Danio rerio: one gene and its partners. The protein of the gene in region 3 interacts with the protein of the main gene of each other region in a pairwise test. Links are inferred from orthologs where the notes say so. Each region holds a gene or a part of one and is shown on either strand. Other genes may lie near its edges. The genes, in order: ccnb1ip1, l3mbtl3, prkaa2, kifc3 and trip6.

The links.
Region 1: the proteins of prkaa2 (region 3) and ccnb1ip1 interact in binary tests that used the Homo sapiens proteins (3 or more experiments, as listed by UniProt). The two-hybrid records come from large-scale screens. The link is inferred for Danio rerio from reciprocal best matches to the Homo sapiens genes PRKAA2 and CCNB1IP1.
Region 2: the proteins of prkaa2 (region 3) and l3mbtl3 interact in binary tests that used the Homo sapiens proteins (3 or more experiments, as listed by UniProt). The two-hybrid records come from large-scale screens. The link is inferred for Danio rerio from reciprocal best matches to the Homo sapiens genes PRKAA2 and L3MBTL3.
Region 4: the proteins of prkaa2 (region 3) and kifc3 interact in binary tests that used the Homo sapiens proteins (3 or more experiments, as listed by UniProt). The two-hybrid records come from large-scale screens. The link is inferred for Danio rerio from reciprocal best matches to the Homo sapiens genes PRKAA2 and KIFC3.
Region 5: the proteins of prkaa2 (region 3) and trip6 interact in binary tests that used the Homo sapiens proteins (3 or more experiments, as listed by UniProt). The link is inferred for Danio rerio from reciprocal best matches to the Homo sapiens genes PRKAA2 and TRIP6.

Annotation. Positions count from the first base shown.
Region 1 is NC_133182.1:19,534,287-19,538,796, reverse strand, and holds the start of ccnb1ip1 (E3 ubiquitin-protein ligase CCNB1IP1), read left to right. Parts: upstream 1-1,440; 5' UTR 1,441-1,849; coding exon 1,850-1,872; intron 1,873-2,088; coding exon 2,089-2,392; intron 2,393-4,510. UniProt on the Homo sapiens protein: Ubiquitin E3 ligase that acts as a limiting factor for crossing-over during meiosis: required during zygonema to limit the colocalization of RNF212 with MutS-gamma-associated recombination sites and thereby establish early differentiation of crossover and non-crossover sites.
Region 2 is NC_133195.1:2,225,539-2,229,375, reverse strand, and holds part of l3mbtl3 (lethal(3)malignant brain tumor-like protein 3), read right to left. Parts: intron 3,072-3,837; coding exon 2,987-3,071; intron 2,307-2,986; coding exon 2,212-2,306; intron 1-2,211. UniProt on the Homo sapiens protein: Is a negative regulator of Notch target genes expression, required for RBPJ-mediated transcriptional repression. It recruits KDM1A to Notch-responsive elements and promotes KDM1A-mediated H3K4me demethylation.
Region 3 is NC_133195.1:8,217,903-8,222,328, reverse strand, and holds the start of prkaa2 (5'-AMP-activated protein kinase catalytic subunit alpha-2), read right to left. Parts: upstream 3,016-4,426; 5' UTR 3,006-3,015; coding exon 2,912-3,005; intron 1-2,911. UniProt on the Homo sapiens protein: Catalytic subunit of AMP-activated protein kinase (AMPK), an energy sensor protein kinase that plays a key role in regulating cellular energy metabolism.
Region 4 is NC_133193.1:48,507,827-48,512,217, reverse strand, and holds the start of kifc3 (kinesin-like protein KIFC3), read right to left. Parts: upstream 3,065-4,391; 5' UTR 2,190-3,064; coding exon 1,887-2,189; intron 1-1,886. UniProt on the Homo sapiens protein: Minus-end microtubule-dependent motor protein. Involved in apically targeted transport. Required for zonula adherens maintenance.
Region 5 is NC_133182.1:19,978,301-19,982,137, forward strand, and holds part of trip6 (thyroid receptor-interacting protein 6), read right to left. Parts: exon of another isoform or gene 3,830-3,837; intron 299-3,829; 5' UTR 290-298; coding exon 85-289; intron 1-84. UniProt on the Homo sapiens protein: Relays signals from the cell surface to the nucleus to weaken adherens junction and promote actin cytoskeleton reorganization and cell invasiveness. Involved in lysophosphatidic acid-induced cell adhesion and migration.

The DNA of each region.
Region 1 (4,510 bases), on a different chromosome or scaffold from region 3:
ATAAAGATATTTGTGTATGGCTCTACATCTTGTGTGTATTAAGTAGTGTGTAAGCGAGGTGCACAACTAACGCGCTCTGCGTTGGACAATAGACCGGCTTTGTACTGGTCTATCACTGTTGCGATTTTCCTCGGTGCTAGGCTCTGCCCGAAAAGTCGCTAAATGTCGCTACATTACATCATACGTTAATTTGCATATTACTGATGTCATCTCGCTCTACCATTTCTGTTTGTTTAACAGCCTATGGTCAATAAGGAGTATTTATATTAGCACTACGCTTTATGTAAGCATGTCAATTTAACTAAGTTTATTGCTGTTTGAACACAATATATCAGTATAGATGTGTAATGAATTTGCAGTAATCTCTCTGGTGTAATAAGCTCAGACAAGTTCCAAAACTGTCACTTAAAATATCTGTGATTGTGAACAAGAAAAGAATAAACAGTCAAATTAAATTGTTAAAATAAACCAGAAGCAGATCGGAGCAAAATCATTTGCTGTCGGTACACAGAGGGGTGAGGTTGCAGGTGGAAGAGGCTGCTGTATGAGGACTGATTGGACCGCCTGTCAGTGGTCTGAGGCGGGGGAGGGGCCGGCGGCATCACCCTCAGCTCGTTGAGAAGAGTAGGGACGGTACAGTATGGACAAATGACAGTCTATAAAAATCTCCAGTAACACACAAAAAAGTCGCTAGATTTGTCGCTAGTCACTTTTTAAAAAAATTTGTTGCTAGGGGGGTCTGAAAAGTCGCTAAATCTAGCGACAAAGTCTCTAAGTTGGCAACAATGTGGTCTATAGAACAGACTATTATAGTTTCTCAAAATAGCAACGCGCCTCAACACGTCTCCTTTTTTAGATCAGAACGCCTATGGACGCACATATGAGCGCAAATGCATTTGCTATTTAAACAGCTTGGCGCAAAACGTCAAAACAACTCTTGTATCAATCTGAAACGAACAAACAACAACTGCGTCGCGCCTTGCGCCACATTGCGCCGGGTGTATGATAGGGCCCTAAGATTTGTAGATTTGTAGTCATGCGTGTGCGTGTTTGTGTGTGTGCAAGAGATATATAATGTTCGATTCATCTTCCATTTGTGCTCTACATCCTAGAAATTAGAAATGTAAAACATTTCAGATTTAACAGGGTTTACAACTTTGTTTGGACAAATGAATCTAAAAGTTTTTTTCACTTTTCCCATTCATTTCTAATGTGACTTCAGTCTGACTGAGATGAGCTTGATGATGATTTGTTTTCACATCTTTAAAACAACCAAATGAAGTCCTTTTTTTGTTTTTAAATTATTTAGGAAAAGTCACAGAATGTCAAGCCCCTGAGATAAAGGGGACATAAAAAAAATATTTGACCCTGTGGGCCAATTAAGGGTTAATTGAAACTTTAATTTTCAGACGCATTTATATTATTATTAACAATTAAAATGGTCTTTATGCAAAATATGATGCAGATGCATTTTACATTTCATCTTGAACAAATATTATCACAATTGTGGGTCTGTAGCGTTTGAGCTTGAAACCCCCTGCCTGCTATATTGTAAACATAATGCAACTACACTCCGTCCAACTCCATTATCAAGAAAAGTAAAGACACATATTTTGGTGTGTTTTACTTACTTGACCAGTTAACGTGATTTCTTCTTTCTTTCTTTACATAAACATATTATTTTTTACCAAACCGTCTAAAGAGTTTGTCAAGAGTAAATAAAGTTATTTAAACGGCGCTTTTGAGATTCATCAAAGAGCTCTTTGGATTCATGTCAGCAGCCAATCAGACGAGGCCACCTGATTAAAGCCCGCGAAACGCTCTACCTGAGACTCCCTGACTGACTGTAATGAACACAATCGCAAAATCACGGTAAAATATCACCACATTAGCAAGTTACATAAGTGTAAAGAGCGATATACATTTTTAACCGCTAAAACAATTTAATATCAGCTTTAGTATTTGAACAGGAAGCAAGAAATAGCTTGGAAATGCGTCTTTGCTAACTGTTTTTCGCCGTTTTCACCACCAGCTCTAACCGTATGTAACTACCCTGCTGTTAATACATGTTCTATTTCCTTCCTCAAGAACCAGCATGTCTGCATCTAAATTCACCTTGCTGTGTAATTCGCACAAATGCCGGGTGAAGCTGAGCGGTGTGGCCTGGGTCACGGCCTGCTCCCATGTTTTCTGTGACCAGCACGGCTCAGAGGAGTTCAGCCGCACCCCCGCCGTCTGTCCCGCCTGCTCCTCCATGCTCTCCGGCAAATTAGACGTCCTGCGAACCGAGCTGACCCCATCCGAGCAATACAAAGCTATGGTTCTGGTCGGACTACAACCTGAAACCGTTTTGGAAATCAGTCATAAAGCAATAGACTTTTGGATCTACCAGGTTTGATGATTGTGTGGTGTCATGTGACCGTGGACCACAAAACCATATTGCTTACAGTTTTATATAGTTGTATATCATATATTACACGGCTCCATTTTTCTTTTATGCTAAAAATCATTATAATATCAAGTAAACATCATGTTCCATGAACACATTTTGTCTTACTGTAAATATATCAAAACTCATTTTTGCTGTATGGATTGCTAGTAACTTTGGACAACTGTAACAAGCTTGGACAACTTTTAGGTTGTTCAAAATATTATTCTCATTATTTAGAATTTTTTTGTATCCTCAGATATTCAAATAGTTTTATATCCACCAAGCAGTGTCATATCCTAACAAAGATATATGATATATACAGTTGAATTATTAGCCTTCCTGAATTATTAGCCCCCTGTATATTATTTCTGTTTAAAAAAGAATTTGTAATATTCAAAAATGCTTAAAATGACTTTAATGGTGACCTGAAAATTTTTCTTTTTTAAATTAAAAAAATGCTATTATTATTATCCTTGCCAAAAAAACCAAAAACAAATCAGACTTTCTCCACAAGAATAAATGTTATAGGAAAGATTGTGAACAATTCCTTGCTCTGTTAAACATCATTTGTAAAACATTTAAAATATATATGTATATTTTTAACTTCAACTATATATTCTAAAAATATATCAAACTGTCTTAAAGTTTGTCCCGAGTAAAAACTAGATACTAGGCTTGGGCGATATCCAAATTTTAAAACCGTCAAACCGCCTCCATATTTTACCCCGGTATCCGGTATTACCGGCGTAATAAAAAAAAAAAAATGACGTAAGGCTCAGACAGCGTCACCAAACTGTAGGCTTGAGCCTAAACCATTCAGAAACTGCATAACTTCTATGCGACCTTAGGCTCGCGGTCAGAGAGAGAGAGAGAGAGAGAGAGAGAGAGAGAGAGAGAGAGAGAGAGAGAGAGAGAGAGAGAGAGAGAGAGAAGCGACGCAACGCACAGCATCTCTCTCTCTCTCTCTTACACACACACACACACACACACACACATCTCTCCCGCGATTTATTCAGAAATTTGCTCCCACACCGTAAGAAATCTGGCCGGCTCCCGCGGAACAGCAGCGGGAAAGCAGAGAGCTGTCATCGGGCCATAAAAATTATACCCGATAGGTCCCGAGTCCGACAGGTACATTTTGATTGACAGCTTTATCAAGCCCAAACCTGTTTACAGCCCGACATTATTCAAATGTGCTCATGCACACAGCTCTAATGCATTTTTTCAAGAATGAGTCATTTATATGTTTTAACATTATTTATTCGTAACAAGCGCAGACTATAGGCCACTTGAAAGTTGGAACAAATAAATAAAATAAGTCCTCTGTAACATCGTAACATCTCAGCACTCTATAGGTCTAGGTACATGCACTAAGCCTTTAAATTGGCCAACACACCAATGAAAAGAAATCTTGCTTAACAAATCAAATTAAAATAAACTCTAAATGATGACGGGTATTTTGGCAATAACGAAATTAAGATAAAGGCGGTGCAAGATGTTTCTCCACTTCTCTTCACAATCTGGCATTAGGGCGGCGGTGAAGCTGAATATTAAAATAATAATGCCACCATTAGTCTGTATACTCTTTCTTCATTATGATTATATGGTTTAATTAATATTTATTTATATTTTAAAAACCCTTTACGCACCAAGATTAGGCTACGTGTGTTTGTGGAGAAACATTATTAAATCCACTGGTTTTAGCGCAGTCTTGCGCTCATGTGCGTCCAGCAGCTGAACACCCTTTCCTGCGGCTACAGGTCGAGATGCAGAGTTCTTATCCGGCTGATTTTGCAAGTTTTGGGTAGGATTGTTTGGTTATCTTCTACCAGTTAGGAACATCCATTTAATTTTCCATGACAGCGGTTAAGTGTAGCGAGCGGAGTGGCCTCGTCATTTTACCTGCTTGCGGTTTAGGGCTCTACCGTAATACGCAGTGTATGAGCGACCGCAAAATACCTGCGGCTGGAATAACCGCTCTTTCTGAGCTAGTGACTGACTTGACCGCCGTCAAAATTACCTTTTTTTTTACTACTTCATCATCATTTGTTTCACCTTTGCAGGGATTTATTTTAATGC
Region 2 (3,837 bases), about 6.0 Mb from region 3:
GAACACTAATGCTGAGTTCAGACTGCATGAGTCGTGTCACAGATGTTTTCACACTGCATGACTATCTGGGTTACCGTTTGGTTACTGCTTTGTTTACACTGTAAGATGAACCGGCAACAGGGGGTTTCACACTGTATGACTTTAAAATAGGATGAATCGACAAATTCGGTTGGTGGTTCGAGCCTCGGCTCAGTTGCCGTTTCTGTGTGGAGTTTGCACGTTCTCCCTGCGTTCGTGTGGGTTTCCTCCGGGTGCTCCGGTTTCCCCCACAGTCCAAAGACATGTGGTACAGGTGAATTGAGTGGGCTAAATTGTCTGTAGTGTATGAGTGTGTGTGTGAATGGATGTTTCCCAGAGATGGGTTGCGGCTGGAAGGGCATCCACTGCATAAAAACTTGCTGGATAAGTTGGTGGTTCATTCCACTGTGGCGACCCCGGATTAATAAAGGGACTAAGCCGACAAGAAATGAAGACTCGCCAAATTCACACAGCATGATTTGAATTGCCGACAATTCAATTTTTCTACTGCTAAGATGACATTTGTCATTATCAGATTCCCTCTTTCATTAAATTGAACAATATATAGGCTAGAGTAGTTACACTGACACTGTAAAACATTTATTCTCATGTACAACACTCTGTGTTCGCTATGACAGAAAAAGCTTTAATATTAAATGCTTGTCGTAATCATAACTCTATAATGCGATATGAAATTTTTAAATGATGTGGTTCATACTTCACGCGCGGCTCCCAAACGATCGCTCTGTGCAACAAACTGAATGTTATTCGCGACTGTATTACCTGATATTCACAGCCTATGAAGGTTCTGTTTAGAGATGCGCGGATGGGCTACTATTTCATCCGCAACCGCATCATAAAACTCATTATCCGTCCGCCATCCATCCGCACTAACATTTTTTACCTATTTTTAAAACCGCACCCGCCCGCCATCTGCTGACTGAGCTCTTTATTTGAATGGCTTATTCCTTTTTATTATTAAATGAATGTTTCTTTATTGATTATTAGAAAATAGAGAATGACTTTAATGACATGCAGTTAATCCAAACGTGCAAGTCAAATCCAGCATTAATTGACGCTTTGAAGTGACGCTAAACAATACGAGGACGTGTCGTTTCACTTGATTCGATTCCTTGGTCCTTGAGGTTTTTTTTTGCGTCCTTCCCTCGCATCCTATAGGGGTGGAAAGACGAGGAAAGAAAGCAAGGAAAGGAAACGAGGATACACAAATAAGAAATGAGAAGCACCCTATAAAGCTCTCAGAATATCAGCAGTGAACTCCGTCTCCAATCGGTGCACAGGGACAAAAATAAATAAATGAAACGCACTGTACTGTACAATTTTTTTTTATTATAGTAACCTAATAGAAAACGCATTTTGACACATCATTTCAACATTCAGACGAGAACGCCTGGCCTCTAATGCGCCCTGCTGCACTGAAGGAGCGCTCGCTCGCGGCACTTGTTGCTGGAATGCATAGAATTCTCTTGGCAAGGTGCTGTAGACGTGGGAATGACTGCCTTGTTTCTCCCAAAAAGAAAGTAGATTTTCCTCTGCTGATCCGTCTATTCTTAATTTTGTAGAGGAAGACTTCTGTACTTCATCCAGAATTAGTGTATCCGATTCCTCCTCTCATTCTGTGAAGTCAGTCCTAGGCTTTTTCGTTGGTGCGCCAGCTATGTGTACAAAAACAGTACAACCGCCCGCCACCCGCCCGAATTTAATTAAAATATTATTTTTCGTCACGTCATCCGCCCGATCCGCGGTTTATCCGCGGAATAACCGCCATCCGCGCATCTCTAGTTCTGTTCACTAAAGTAGACTTCATTCACATGCGCCCGCTCTCTCTATGGTACCAGCTCACAGTCAGCTCACATCTAGTGTGATTTCACGGCCGTGAATACGTCATTCCACGAAGAAAGAAATGGCATTTTCGAGTGATTTATACCTGATAAACAGTATGTGACTCTTTTATTAACATTTGGAGGAGTCCATATTGCTAAACAAAGTATATAAAACATTGTGAAGACTTGTGCGGCCGCCTTTTCTTCTCTCCTGAACTTAAACATATGATTGGCAGAATTGTAGAAATGCTGGATTAAGATCGTTTATATGGGTGGAATCGAGATCGCAGTTTTTTCTGATTAATCGTGCAGCTCTAGTGCGCGCGTGTGTGTGTGTGTGTGTGCTGACCTCTTTGAAGAGTTTGCTGGGTGCAGCGATGGCTCTCTCCTGCTCCAGGTACGAGGCCCAGCACCAGGCCTTCTTCTTGCCTCCATACGGCACCGCTGCATCATGGGAAATATCAGAGTCAGACTCACCTAGAAGCATCTGTTTGTGTGTGTGTGTGTGTGTGTGCGTATGCACATATGTGTGTGATTGTCTGTGTGTCTGAATGCATGTTTAGGTGTATGTGTGTGTATGTGTGTCTATGCATGCATGTGTGAGTGTTTCTGTGTTTATGTTTGTGTCTATTTACATATGTGTGTGACTGAGTTTCTGTGTGTGTGTGTGTGTGTGTGTGTGTGTGTGTGTGTGTGTGTGTTTGTATGTGTGTGCGCGTCTTTTCTCTGTGAATGTGTACGTATGCATCTGTGTGTATGGGTTTGTGTGCATTTACATGTGCATGTGCGTGTGTGTGTGTGTGCACATAGGTGTGTGATAGTCTGTGTGTCCGTATGCATGTTTAAGTATGTGTGTGCTTCTGTTTGTGTATTTGTGTCTGTGTACATAAGTAAGCATTTGTGTGGGGGATGTTTGTGTGTGTGTATGTGTGTCAATGTAGGCATGTGTGAGTGTTTCTGTGTGTATGTTTGTGTCTATTTACTTATGTGTGTGACTGAGTTTCTGTGTGTGTGTCGGTTTGTGTGCAATTACGTGTGTGTGTGTGTGTGTGATTCTGTGTGTCTGTTTGTGTACGCATGTATGTGTGTGCATGTGTCTATGCATGTGTGTGCGTGTGTTTCACTGTATCGGAGCAGTGCTGCGTCTCCTCTGCGTTTCTTGCGTCCTCGTGTCGCTCCTCTGGCTGGTCGCCTGCTTTCTTTCTCTTCCTGTTACACACACACACACACACACACACACACACACACACACACACACACACACACACACACACACACACACACACACATATCTGATGTGAAACCTGAAAGCCAGCAGATCAGAAACACACACTTGACTCTACAGTATTTTCTGTGTTTTTTCTTTCGACATAAAAGTGTACAATCACTTGTGATCTTATTTCAGATTAGTTGAAGGATAAGCTCATTATATATCGTATAATTAGCTCATTATTTCTGAAAACAAAACAAATCTTTTTACTTGTCTAATCTGTAATAAAGCTGTGAAAAAGGACAGCATTGAAAACATCTGCTTTACAATGACGTCCACCAAGTTAGCTGGATTCAGGGTTGCCAGATTGGAAATGTCAAAGTATCGTATCAGACCCTCAAAATTATCGTATTTGGAGGAAAATTATCGTACACGAGTCAAACTGAGAGTATACAGCTATTATCTAGACACATAGCGTTTTGACACAACGTGCAAATTACCACAATACGTTAAAAAAAAACTAGGTACTTAATGGGAAGGTTCAAACTCCACCTCTGAGTTGCTGTAATTGAATGTGGCATGTTGCCAGATGTTGAGGGATTTATTTTCTGAGGTTTTGTTTTAATGAGACTAACTTTGTAAAAAAACAACATGTTCACAAGACGCATTTGAATGGGGAAAAAACGAGAACATCAAGGGAAAACTCTTGTCCCGCTCACCTTCCTTTACAGCACAAATTGTTTTAACATTATTGCTTAAAGGGCA
Region 3 (4,426 bases):
GGTCATCACGCGAGCAAAACAGCAAAAAAGAAGGTAAATACTGAACGAGAGGATGATCACTCGCACGCGCAGGTGATGTGATGCGTGCAACTGTTAAAAAGCGTGCAAGCTCCCGTTTACTTGCGCACAACCCTGCCTAGGGGACTACAGGAAGTGCAACTGGTGCGATCGGTTCCGTTTGAAATAGACTGGACAAACAGCGATGATCGAGCATCCACAATTTTTTTGTTTGTTTTTTTTAAAGAAAAGTTTTGTTGAATTAAAAGGTGTACCTATACAGCTTTATTTTCCTTGTTTTGACACATTAAAACATTGTGGCTAAGAAATGCTTATTTGGTGTGGTCAGAGATAAATTTGGTAAATCCTTAATTTTGAGCCCTGAAAAGTCCTGTGAAATAAAAACTGATTGCATTGCGACAAACTATTTGCTCATGCACACAGAGCAAGCTATTACATAATACATACAAGAAGTTAAATGAATACGAAGGCATGTGGACATAACACAACATCTAAATAAAGTCATTTTAGCATAATAAAGTCAGATTTATGCATATAAAATATATTTTCCCAACAAGAAAAGTTAGTGAAAATGGCAAGTGGCTAGTAAAGTTGGAAATCTACTAGCCACAGTGGCTGGTGAACGAAAAAGTTGATGTCAAGCCCTGTGTGTGACAAAGATGCATAACTTCCATCCATACTACAAGCATTGACCACTTTTTAAATACATTTTCTGTTCTGATCCCAAGCTTAGGCAAATAACTGAGAAAGCGTCAATATGAAACCACATTTTTAAGATTTCATCTAGACCAGCGCTTCCCAATAGGGGGGTCCCAGCTCACAAGGGGGCCTCAGCGAGCTCTGAGGGGGGTCAAGTCATATTTTTAACATTTTTTAGCAGAGGACAATCAGGAGAATCATTACAATCATGTTGCCTTAGTTCATTTTATTCCCTGGCTGACCAAAAAAATTGACAAATTTGTAATTCGTCCTCCACAGTCTCACTGATTCGCCTTTAGCAGCTAATAGTAATGACCTAAGCATATATTGGACCCTGGTGAGGAAGCTCCAAACATTTCGAGTCGCAGCGCTAGCAATACTGAAAACACGAAATGCAGAAAATACTAAGATGGTTACCTGAATTATGGTTTTATCTCATTTTCTCAAAGCAAAGAGTCCCTGACCCAGCCACAGTGTATTATCTGTGCCAAAGTTCTTGCTAACAAATGCATGAGGCTGTCTAATATAATAAAACATTTGCATTCGACTCATCAATACCGCAACATGCTCAGAGCATTTTTTTAACTCAAGGCAAAATAATTGACACACACCCAATATGAAAGGAGGGTCAGGACAGCTACAGACAAGAAACTTTTATAAAATTGGAAACGAATATATATGGAAAATTTTAAGGCTTACGTTTTTCAGTTACAAATGGCCTTTGTTTACATTAGGCTACTATTTGTGCATAAACATATCTAGACATAATATTAAACATACCGTTTGTTTGAAAACAACATTTTTATGTCATCCTGACTGCAAACTTACAATATTCACAATATTTTCACAATATTTTCTGGGGAAAAAAGGAGGTCTTATGCAAAAAAAAGTTGGGAACCACTGATCTACACTTTGTACAAAGAATTTTACATTATTTAAAATTACAAAAACATAAAACCCTTATTGTAATACAATTTATTAGCCCATTTCATAAATACTATTTTGTATTTATAATATGTGTTTGAAATACTTGTATCATAAATACTGCCCATCCCTGATGGCATACATGAACAGATCTCCCAAATATTATCAAAATACATTTACATAAAGTTTGCAGTATTTTACCATTACATTGTGTTTGATTTTCGTACAGCCTACTTTGCTTAAACAGTTTTGTAATGCTTTGCCAAGTAGTCGGTTAGTTTGGATCTTGGCTTAAAGATTTTTTAAATCCCTATGGTAAAAAAATAATAATTAATCTTAATAAAAGGTTTGCTTTACTGCACTTTCTAACACCATTTTTTGCCGAATTAGAATATAATTCCTGAATCTTGTCTCTTGCAAGTTGCAACCAAGAAAGGGCCATTGAGATGAATGGGAATGCTGGTCTATGAGCCGTGTCCAAAAATGCTGCCAAGAATGCAGTCTAGGCATTTTAGTATTAGAACATATCCCTTTTTTAAATTAATGCACATACAGGAAACGTAATGTGTGCACAAACAAAGAAAAAATGTATATCGTTATTGATTGGAGTCGATTAATATATTTTTTTACTGCAATGATGCTTAGCAAAGCTTAAAAACAGGGTTAACGTATACCCGTGCGAAAGGTCATTCCCAATATGAACGGCATTCCCACTAGCGCTTAGAATAGAAAATGACTGCAAGGTCAAAGCAGTTCTGCAGGTAAAGACACGAACTACTCCATTTATTTCAGAGCTGCTTTCACGATAATTATACATATATTCCTTTGAGACACGCGTTTTATAGACTGTCATTTGAGTGTTGGAAATTACGCATATGACAGTTAAAGAGCGCAGCAGGGAGGATGACAGTGCATTAAAATGAGGAAAATAGCAAACGCTGAGAACGCGTAGTTATATTACCTCAAAACATTCCCGAAATGACATATAGTTACTCAAATGTTGTGATACCAAGCATATAAACAAACAAGATTGCAAGTGCACTGTCTACCGTGGTGCTGAAAGAATTCTAGTTCTGCGCAATATTCACGAACAAACATACGCAATCTCTGCGTCTGAAAGCCGTTAGCACAGCCTCTCGCTACGCAGTTTATGCTACGTAAATTACGCACAGTCCGCCGGCAAGTTCAGCACTAACAGACCCGAAAACATACGTTCGCACTTCTATTGCACGCAACATCAGGGCACGTCTAATAAATGAACAGACTTAACTCTTCACTTTTCCAAATGTTCCGACTCCGAGCGTGTCTCCGAGGATGTAGTGTCCTATCTTTACCCTGCCTTCGTGTTTCTGCTTTTCAGCCATTTTACTATGTGAGGTCCTCGGGCTGCCGTTACAGGAGGCGGGATTGCGCGCATGAGGTGGACTGAGCTCGGCTAAAGCCCTTTTTAAGGGCTGATCTGAGTTCAGCTGCTGGAGAAACTGTAAGAGTTGTGTACCAAAAGGCAGATCTCGGATCAGCTGATAATGTGATCGCTGTTGGGGAAGAGGACGCCTGGGCGTTTAGGTAAACAAGTATCCCCCCAGCGTGACATAACTACAAATGACTCTACATGAATTAATTTTGAATATAGGAATATTTAAATTTGATGTTATAGTGATTTTGTAACATTATTAGGCTACTGCTATTGTGTTTATTAATAATTTGTGGTAATTTTATATTTTAAGCCTATTCTGCGCCTTTGGGATGCATCAAATTAAAATGAATGCAAAAGCATCTAAATTTGTAAAAAAGAAATTACGTTAACTTAATTTATTCATGTTGTCCCAACACAAATCGATTTTGTGGAACCCAACATTTTTTTTACAGTGATAGCGTACTAAGGAACAGTTCACAAAATTGTCATCTCTAATAGCTATATAGAGAGTTGAAGTCAGAATTATTAGCCCACCTTTGAATTATTTTTTTCAAAATTTTATATAAAAAATTATGTTTACTATGTTCAACAGAACAAGGACATTTTTTACAGTATGTCTGATTATATATATATATATATATATATATATATATATATATATATATATATATATATATATATATATATATATATATATATATAAATAGGCTAGAATTAAAGCAGTTTTTAATTTTAAAACCAGTGTTATACATTAACTTGCTTAATTACCCTAACCTGCCTTATTAACCTAGTTAAGCCTTTAAATGTCACTTTAAGCTGTATAGAACTGTTTTGAAAAATATCTAAGGGATAGCGGGGTAAAATGTAGACAATCTCTATATATATATATATATATATATATATATATATATATATATATATATATATATATATATATATATATATATATATATATATATATATATATAAAACACGACACAGCGGGGTTAGTTGTAACAGAGTGTTACAATTAAGCCACACACTGTTAGACACCAATTGAACTCACACATTTTTTTTTTAATTTTAAGTGTAATGTTGAGAACTTTTTAAATACAATTATTTTTAATAGAATTTTTTTTGTTTTATTTTGATAGACAAAAAAAATATTTTATTGCTAATACTACAAATAAATTAATTGTATTATAATGGAAAATAATCCAAATAAATCCAAATGTTTTTATCCAATAAATAAATAAACATTCTGTGCTATGTAGAATAAAAATAATAATTGAGGTACTGAGAAAATATTGCTACTATTAAAAGTAAACTAAATTTAAATTAATTGTGTTTAATCTGCCTTTTTAAGCATGCGTTACAACTAACACTCTG
Region 4 (4,391 bases), on a different chromosome or scaffold from region 3:
AAGAGGTTGAGTGTTTCTGAATTCTACATATAGCCCCAACTAAGAGCGTACAAAACTAATGTGCACACAAAGAAGTGGTGTAATAAATCACAAGCACTATGTTAAAATTCTAGCAAATCCAGATTTTTGCTAATTCGTCAAGTCAAAGCATAAAGATTGAGGAAAAGGGATAGCAGTAAACAGAGCGTATGCGAATTAAATTATGATTAAAGGGGACAGAGAGCTCTCTGATTAACCCACTGCTTGCGTAACCACTCAGGATTTGATCTGCTAAAACGATCCATCAGACTGCAGAGAACATTAGAAATGGGACATTGGGAGGATAAACATGATTCCAGGTAAATGAAAATCCCTGTGTGTATTATGCAGAAAGAACATTTACAAAATGTTCCCATAGTGAATTACTCCCACCAGAAGCAGCTGATCACAGAAATTCTGGATAAGGATGAAAAGTCGAGAAAAACGCACTTGATTGATTAAAATAGCTCCAGTAGACTTGATGAAATTCACACACTCAGAAAAGGAATATGTTCAACTTAAAGCCGTCTAAGGTTTCTTCAAATCAATAATACAACGCACATAAATAATGAGAAGAAATCAATGAATAAATAATTGCATTTTGGATTAAATGGAGGTTTTCCAGTAGCAGAGAGACTCATCAGTTACACTCTTCCAGCTTGAGGACTGATCGGTCAAAAACAACACTTAATTCCCTGCAGAATCTACAGTAACATACTGGCAGCAATTTACCAGTAACTTACTGTAAATCAAGTACAGCAAATAGACTGTATTTACATTTACAGCACCATTTATCTTGTATTTACAGATATGTATGTATAATAGTTTTGGGTCAATAGGCAATGCCATCGTCGATCGACAAAGGCCGAGAAACATCCTCTGCCCCGCCCCCGTCGCTAGAATTACACACTCAGGCCCCATTTAGACCAATACATCTTAGTATTAAAATGGCATTTTAGAACGAAAACGATCCACATCCACTGGCGTTTTATCTAGCACTTCTGAAAACATACTGCTGAACACACATGGCATGTGCTGCAGCATTTGCGCACGTCTGAGCTCTAGGCAGTCAGTGGGTGCTTTGAGCACAAAATCCCAGAGAGCAGTGCACTTTGGACAATTTATTAAAGATGTACCGCTGGATTGCATCTTATAGATGTTAAACTTGATATTTAATTAATCTTGTCTCTATCTAACGACTCCTCTGTCTTTTGAATCTATCAGGTAACACAGCGTCAGTACACTGCTTCAGTCTTTCGCTTTCACGCTTGTACTTTTAGTAAATTGTAATTCTAGCTTAAACCTCAGATACTGTTGGATGGTTCCTGTTGGTTGTGCACCTTTTTTTTTACCAACCAAGTTTTTCGACGCCATTATAATGACACAGATCACTCTGCCTATTCATGCCAGAATCCCGCAAAAAAAAATATTGACCGGTTGGTCATTTATGTGTAATTTATCTTTATTCATTTATGATTTGGTTATGTATAAAACAAAGACTATGCAGGTCAGGTAGTCGCAACGGGTGGCTACAAATTATTAATTTGTTATGAATAAATAAATGATTCACTGATGCCATCGTCCATCACGATGTTTCACATTAGACATCGTACGATGCCAAATCGGTCAACATCGCCCAACCCTAATGTAAATCTTTACTGTAGAATATACACTAATTTTCACAATGCAGCATTAAAATACAGTAACATACTGCATGAGTGTCCTACAGTAAAATACAGTTCACATTACAGCTAAATACTGTGTAATTTACAAAAATCGTTAACAGTGAACATTAAACTGGATGGCTGCAATGCAAACAGCCTTCAACTAACAACTTTCTTTACTTTAACCTCCATGTTCACGCTCACCTGTGCTATCTTCCTCCTCTCCAGCACATTATCCTGATGAACAGATCTTCTTTTACTCGCTCTGCTGCTGAATCCGTCAAGGCATCTATCAACGTCACTCTGCCCATGCACTCTTGAAGTCTCTAGTGGTCCAGAACTTCCAGGAATGTGGTGTTTGTTTCTCTTCTTGCGTCCGTGTTTGCCTACATCTGGTTTGTGCTTCTCTGGGCTTTCGATAGCTTTGGGTTCAACGGGATCCAGGACTCGGGGTCTCCTAAACAGGTTGTGAAGAGACAGCAGCACCAAGGTGCACAGAACATACATGCTGGCTTGACTACTGGAGACGTCTCCACACACACATTTAGACGGAGTATCCTTTAAAAGCGATTCTGGATGATCCCATTTCAGGGTGAGCGCAAGCACTGAACACTATCTTCTGGTTAAAGTTACAGTCGTAATATAAACTCTTCCGAATTGCGCAGCAATGAGCTTTATCGGTCGACGTGAAGGTGATCAGCCAGTTTAGAATCAAGTATTGTTGAGTTCTTGCATGTCTTCCCACCACTGTTTTCACTCAAACAACAACTCCTGGAAGGTAAGACCGTGTTATTCCAACACCTTCGAGCTCCAGAACTCTCACTTAGGCTTGATAATCTGTCTGTGATCTGATCAGCAAATGAGATGGCTTTCTCATCTCCCAATCTCGTTCAAGAGAGAATGAGGGAGGGACGACTACCGCACATCTGCTTTTAAACCCCACAAAGCCATTTTAACCTACCTGGACACGTCTATAAAGATATCGCCTGATAAACAATGTAAGCCAACAGCATGATAAATGCTTCTTTAATCAGGATACATAATATTTAGGTGCTTATCTTCCCCATCTGCACGCCTCTTCTTTGGAGATCTTCCAGAAGATTACAGGTGTATTCCAGTGAAATTCGATCGAAAGAGTAACCATGAAACTCTCAGTCGTAATCTCCATTGGCACTTTGACAAATCATCACCTCCACTTGCGTCAGTAATGGTTTTATTGTATTTTTACAGTCACTGGATTGCAGGACAAAACTCACAGGTCAGACCACTCCTTTCATAATGCCTTGTTTTGATAGTCTTTATCCCCGTTTTTAGGTCCAAATGACTGGGCAAACTCCAACCATTCATAACCCATCCAACTCCTGCGATGCTGGTGTAGTCCTATAACTCCGAGAGAGAAAATGCTTTTCACTCTTTCGCCCTCCCTTTTCTCATTGTGTCCATCTGTCACTGCAGTCGGACAGCTAAGCGTCTCTTAGCCGATGATGTAACAACAGTGTTTGCATCTATGCAAAATAAGGAAAATCAACTCAAAACATGTTTTAAATGCACTGCTGAGGATAAAGAAGCTGGTCTGTGATTGGTCGCCTCCGTGGTAAGATGACCCTGTTGAACTGCGTCCTACAAAGCCATCCATCATGCTCCTGCTGTGTGACAATGGATAGAACATAATATGGAAACAGACAACTATGGGAATGTGGCGCAGTGAGACCTGACAGTGCCAATCTAGAGTGATCAATTAGGATTCGGGGACATAGAAGATCGGCGCTGTCTTGTGCTGGTACTTCAGGGGGGAAAAATTGAATCATGTTTGAAGTGTGTGCGCAAGACAAACAAAAGGCCATCTTCTGGTTCATTACCCTTTTTAGGGGCCGTTCACATGCTTCAGACCAAGGGAAAACAACAAGAGTGCCTGTTCGAACCAAATTAACCAGTATAGAAGTAAGTGCTCAAACTAAAGTGGCAGGGCTGGGCAAATCTACAAACAGAAAACTACAAACAAACAACAATTTTTTTTATATACAGTTGAAATCAGAATTATTAGCCCCCCTGAATTATTAACCTCCCTGTTTTATTATTATTATTATTGATTATTATTATTTTTTATTTGTTTATTTTATTTTTTAAACATAATAGGTTTAAGAACTCATTTTTAATAACTGATTTATTTTATCCTTGTCATGAAGACAGTAAATAATATTTGACTAGATATTTTTAAAGACACTTCTAAACAGCTTAGTGACATTTAAAGGCTTAACTAGGTTAATTACAGTAGGTTAACTACGCAGGTTAGAGTAATTAGGAAAGTTATTGTATAACGATGGTTTGTTCTGTAGACTATCGGAAAAAATAGCTTAAAGGGGCTAATAATTTTGTCCTTAAATTGGTAGTTAAAAAATTAATAACTGCTTTTATTCTAGCCGAAAATAAGACTCTCAAAAAGACAAAATATTATCAGACATACTGTGAAAATGTCTTTGCTTTGTTAAACATCATTTTGGAAATATTTAAAAAAGAAAAAAAACATCAACAAGGGCTAATAATTCTGACTTCAACTGTATATAAGACAATACCAAAATGATGATACAAGTTGAATATTCTCTTCTTCAAAGGGGGCCTCTTACACTCATTTAAACAAGATGTAAAATAAGTCCCTATAGTGTTTGTGTGTGTGTGTGTGTGTGTGTGTGTGTGTGTGTGTGTGTGTGT
Region 5 (3,837 bases), on a different chromosome or scaffold from region 3:
AAAAAATGAATTTAATTTTTAAAAAAAAGTAACAGTACATAGGGATCAACATGACGTTTAAACAACAAGTTTAGCAGTTCTTACCTGAAGGTCCAGTAGCCATATATCTAATGGGCATGCCATTTCCTCCCGTTCCACCATTCTGGTCATACATGTTATATTTGGGCCTCTGCTCGGGCAGGCCTTTCTTTGGAGGTCTGTAGAGAGCGGGGCCAGAGTGTGACATTGGTGCTGTGTCTCTGTCTGGGCTACCCAGGGTCCTTGGAGGCAGCCAGGTGGGACCAGACATATCAGACTTCTACAAGAACAACACACAATATAAACCATGGCACCATTGTGAAACTTTGTAGGTTTAAAGTCACTTATTTGAGTATTTTAAATATGATTAGATGTAATGTATAACACAACAATCCCTAAGAGTTCAGGCTCTATAGAAGTGCTGCCCAAGCTTGTATAAAATGCATAACTGTAACTACACAAAACAGACTGATGCTTTATGCTTTGTCTCCAGTGGCAACGCATGGTTTCCATGATAACAATAGGCACCAAGTTAAAAAGCAGGAAAAGGGAACCATTCTCAGCCGAAAGGGGAATTCCAGGGTTCCTCAGTCAAACAGCATTTCTCTCTCTCTCACACACATACAAAACAAACATACAATTCCCACAGGTGCACAACATTTGCAATGTATTCGTTCCGCTCTCGAGTCTCCCATAGGTACAATAGGCATTGTCCACAACACTTAATCCACAATACTTTATCTACAGAGCCTGTCCATGAAAATAAGATAGGAAGTGTTGTGTAATATACAACTTTTCATTTGTGCCATCAGGTGTTCGCCAGACAATGTGCTTGTGTATCCAAGTGCTGACGAGTGCTTGTTATTATAAGCTTATGAAAACAAACCTCACAACAATATAAGATGCTGTAAACACAATAGTATTTTACAAAAGTATTAGAAAACAAACAAGTCCTCTGAGAATCTAGCTTAAGATGGCTGTCTAGTAATCTGCTGGTTGAGCAGTTAACATGCCCAAATATAGAGTTTAGCCACATTAGTAGAACTAACTAGTAGCTGGTTCGTATTGAGGTAAAGTTGGTTTTATTTTCACACATTTGCACTTTCCTCTGAATAATTTAATTTCACAAAAACATCTTTTGCAAATTCTAAATAGGGAAATTATATTAACACAAATGATCTCAAAGTAAAACATTGTTTACAGTCAAATAAATAGTGCTAATGTTATTTTCAAATCATACTTACATGTGTTTCAGGCCGAATATTCAAAGTGGCATGGTAAACTATATAGGGAGCATGTCACAAGTTGTCACTGGACAATTGTGTTAATATAAAACCAACTTCACCTCAATATGGTTTGTTTGTTAATGGTCGAAAGTAGTCTAGCACAACCAAATCACCAACAACAGTATTTTGTAAAGCATTACATAACGAAGAAGTCTTTTGAAATTGTACTTGAAAAGCCAGAATAAAGGGACAGTTCACCAAAAACTGAAAATTCTGTCATCTTTTACTCACCCTTCACTTGTCACAAACCTGTTTGAGACGGAGTAAATACAGTATAGATACATATACAGTATGCGAAGTGGAGTTTTTTTATAAACTAATTTCGAGAGGATCGCATGCTTATGATTGCTTGCGGCTGGTCCCTCATTATCCAATTTATGATTCACCAATCAGATAATTCCTAAGCCACTATAAAATACCCTAAGTTCCATATCACAGCCACCTTTGTTTTTGAGGATCCCCCCTTCCACCCCTACTCCTCCTCCTTTCCTAGATGGCTGACACGGTGGCCCAGTGGTTAGCACTGTTGCCTCACAGCAAGAACATCTTTGGTTGTAGTCCTTACCAAGCCAGTCGACGTTTCAGTGCGGAGTTTACATGTTCTCTCCATGCTCACGTGGGTTTACCCCCAGGTTCCCAGAGTTCGTCCCACCGTCCAAAAACACAACTTAAGTTAATTGACTAATCCAAATCAGCATTATAGACATGCTCCTAGTAAGTAGTTATCTCTTAAGAGCAATCACTATCTGTTCATTAGCTTCTACAGCAGGGGAGTTCTCGAGATCAACCTGAGCTCAAACTCCCCTCTCGCCTTGCAAACAGGAGGGAGCCCCGGACTTGACGATCTTTTGAGCTCATGGCTCTCCCCCAGGACAGCATGCCAAACTAGCTTTATAATTAATCATCAGCTAAGTGTGAACTAGGGCTGCACGATATTGGAAAAAATTGACATTGCGATATTTTTTCCCCTGCGATATATATTGCGATATTATATATATATATATATATATATATATATATATATATATATATATAATATATATATATATATATATATATATATATATATATATATACTGTGAACTCTTGGACTATATATTGACAATCAGGAGGGTCAGCTGTTTCAGTTAGTTTGTGTATACATGCTTCACTTATTTATGCATTTCTTTTTTTAATTTCATCTAGTTTATTAATAAAAACTAAAAGATTTAGGTTTTCAGCATTTTGAGGGACATTTAGTGTATTCTGACCTGCAGTATTCTCTAATTTGCGATTTCAGATGTTACTGTAGGTTAAACTACAAACTACATATTTTTCAGGCTAAATATGTAAACACCCATTTTACGAGAACAAGTCTTGTGAACATGATGTCTATTGGAGCTCTAGATCTGCCTCTTTCAGACTTTGTTCTCGCATTGACTGATTGGCGCAAATATGCATTAACAATTTTTTTACCGTTATAGCGGTGGTCAAATGTTTTATTTATATTATCTATTATTTTAATAATTAATATTATTTAAAATACAGATCAGAGTGAAATATTTCTCAGTATTAAACAACTGACCCCCCCATACATCTTGTTCTGACATCCTTCAGGGGGGATAAAGTGGTAATTAGGGGGGTCATATCTCCCTAAAGCCCCTGTAATTCGCACCCCTTATATGTACTTTTTTGTTAAACACAAAATAAGCTGTTTTGAAAAATACTGAAAATGTGTAACCTTCCTATTATGAAAGTAAATGGCTACAGGTTTCTAACATGCATGCCTTCAAGTTTTTTCTTTTGTGTTCAACAGAAAAATGAAACTCATAAAGGGTTGGAACCACTTGAAGAAGAGTAAATCTTCAATTGGGCTGAACTACAGTAGTCAACATTTGAAGAGGATCATAACCTTTCATCAAAGATTTCCTAAAACTATTGAACAACAGCCATTCTTGTCCTAGGACAATTTTGAAAAACATTTTTGATTCGCTTCGAATGTTGACTACTGTATTTAGGAAAACAGCTTGGTAATGTTGGTTGACCAGTTAAATTGCCCCCAAAAACAGTTTGACCACCTTAGTATAACTTGTAGCGTGCTGTATGTTTGTTGATGTTAGAAGATGGTTTTACACAAGCAAATAGCCAGGTAATGAGCAGTTAACCATCAATGCTATCTTAACATTGATTCAGCTCTCACGTCTACATTGATCTATAATAATTACACTGAACAACATCTAAACAAGTTTCTTAACCACATAAACATCCAATATGACCGTCTTGCATTGCACTACAACCAGTGAAAGCTCGAACTCAAAGCCGTGGCTTGTTAGGCCGATGTATCTCCCGTATGACTCCATTTTTTAAATCTTAAAATAAATGAATTGCAGTCTGCTTTAGGTTGTGATTCGTTGCAGTGCTTGACAGAAGCGCGCGACACATGAACGTGACGCTCGCGGATTTCTGCTCATCTATGGTTACTGACGTCCGGTGTGTTCTGTGGGTTATTTAAACAATAGGACATTAACAATTTCCCGTAACGTTACCTTTTGAA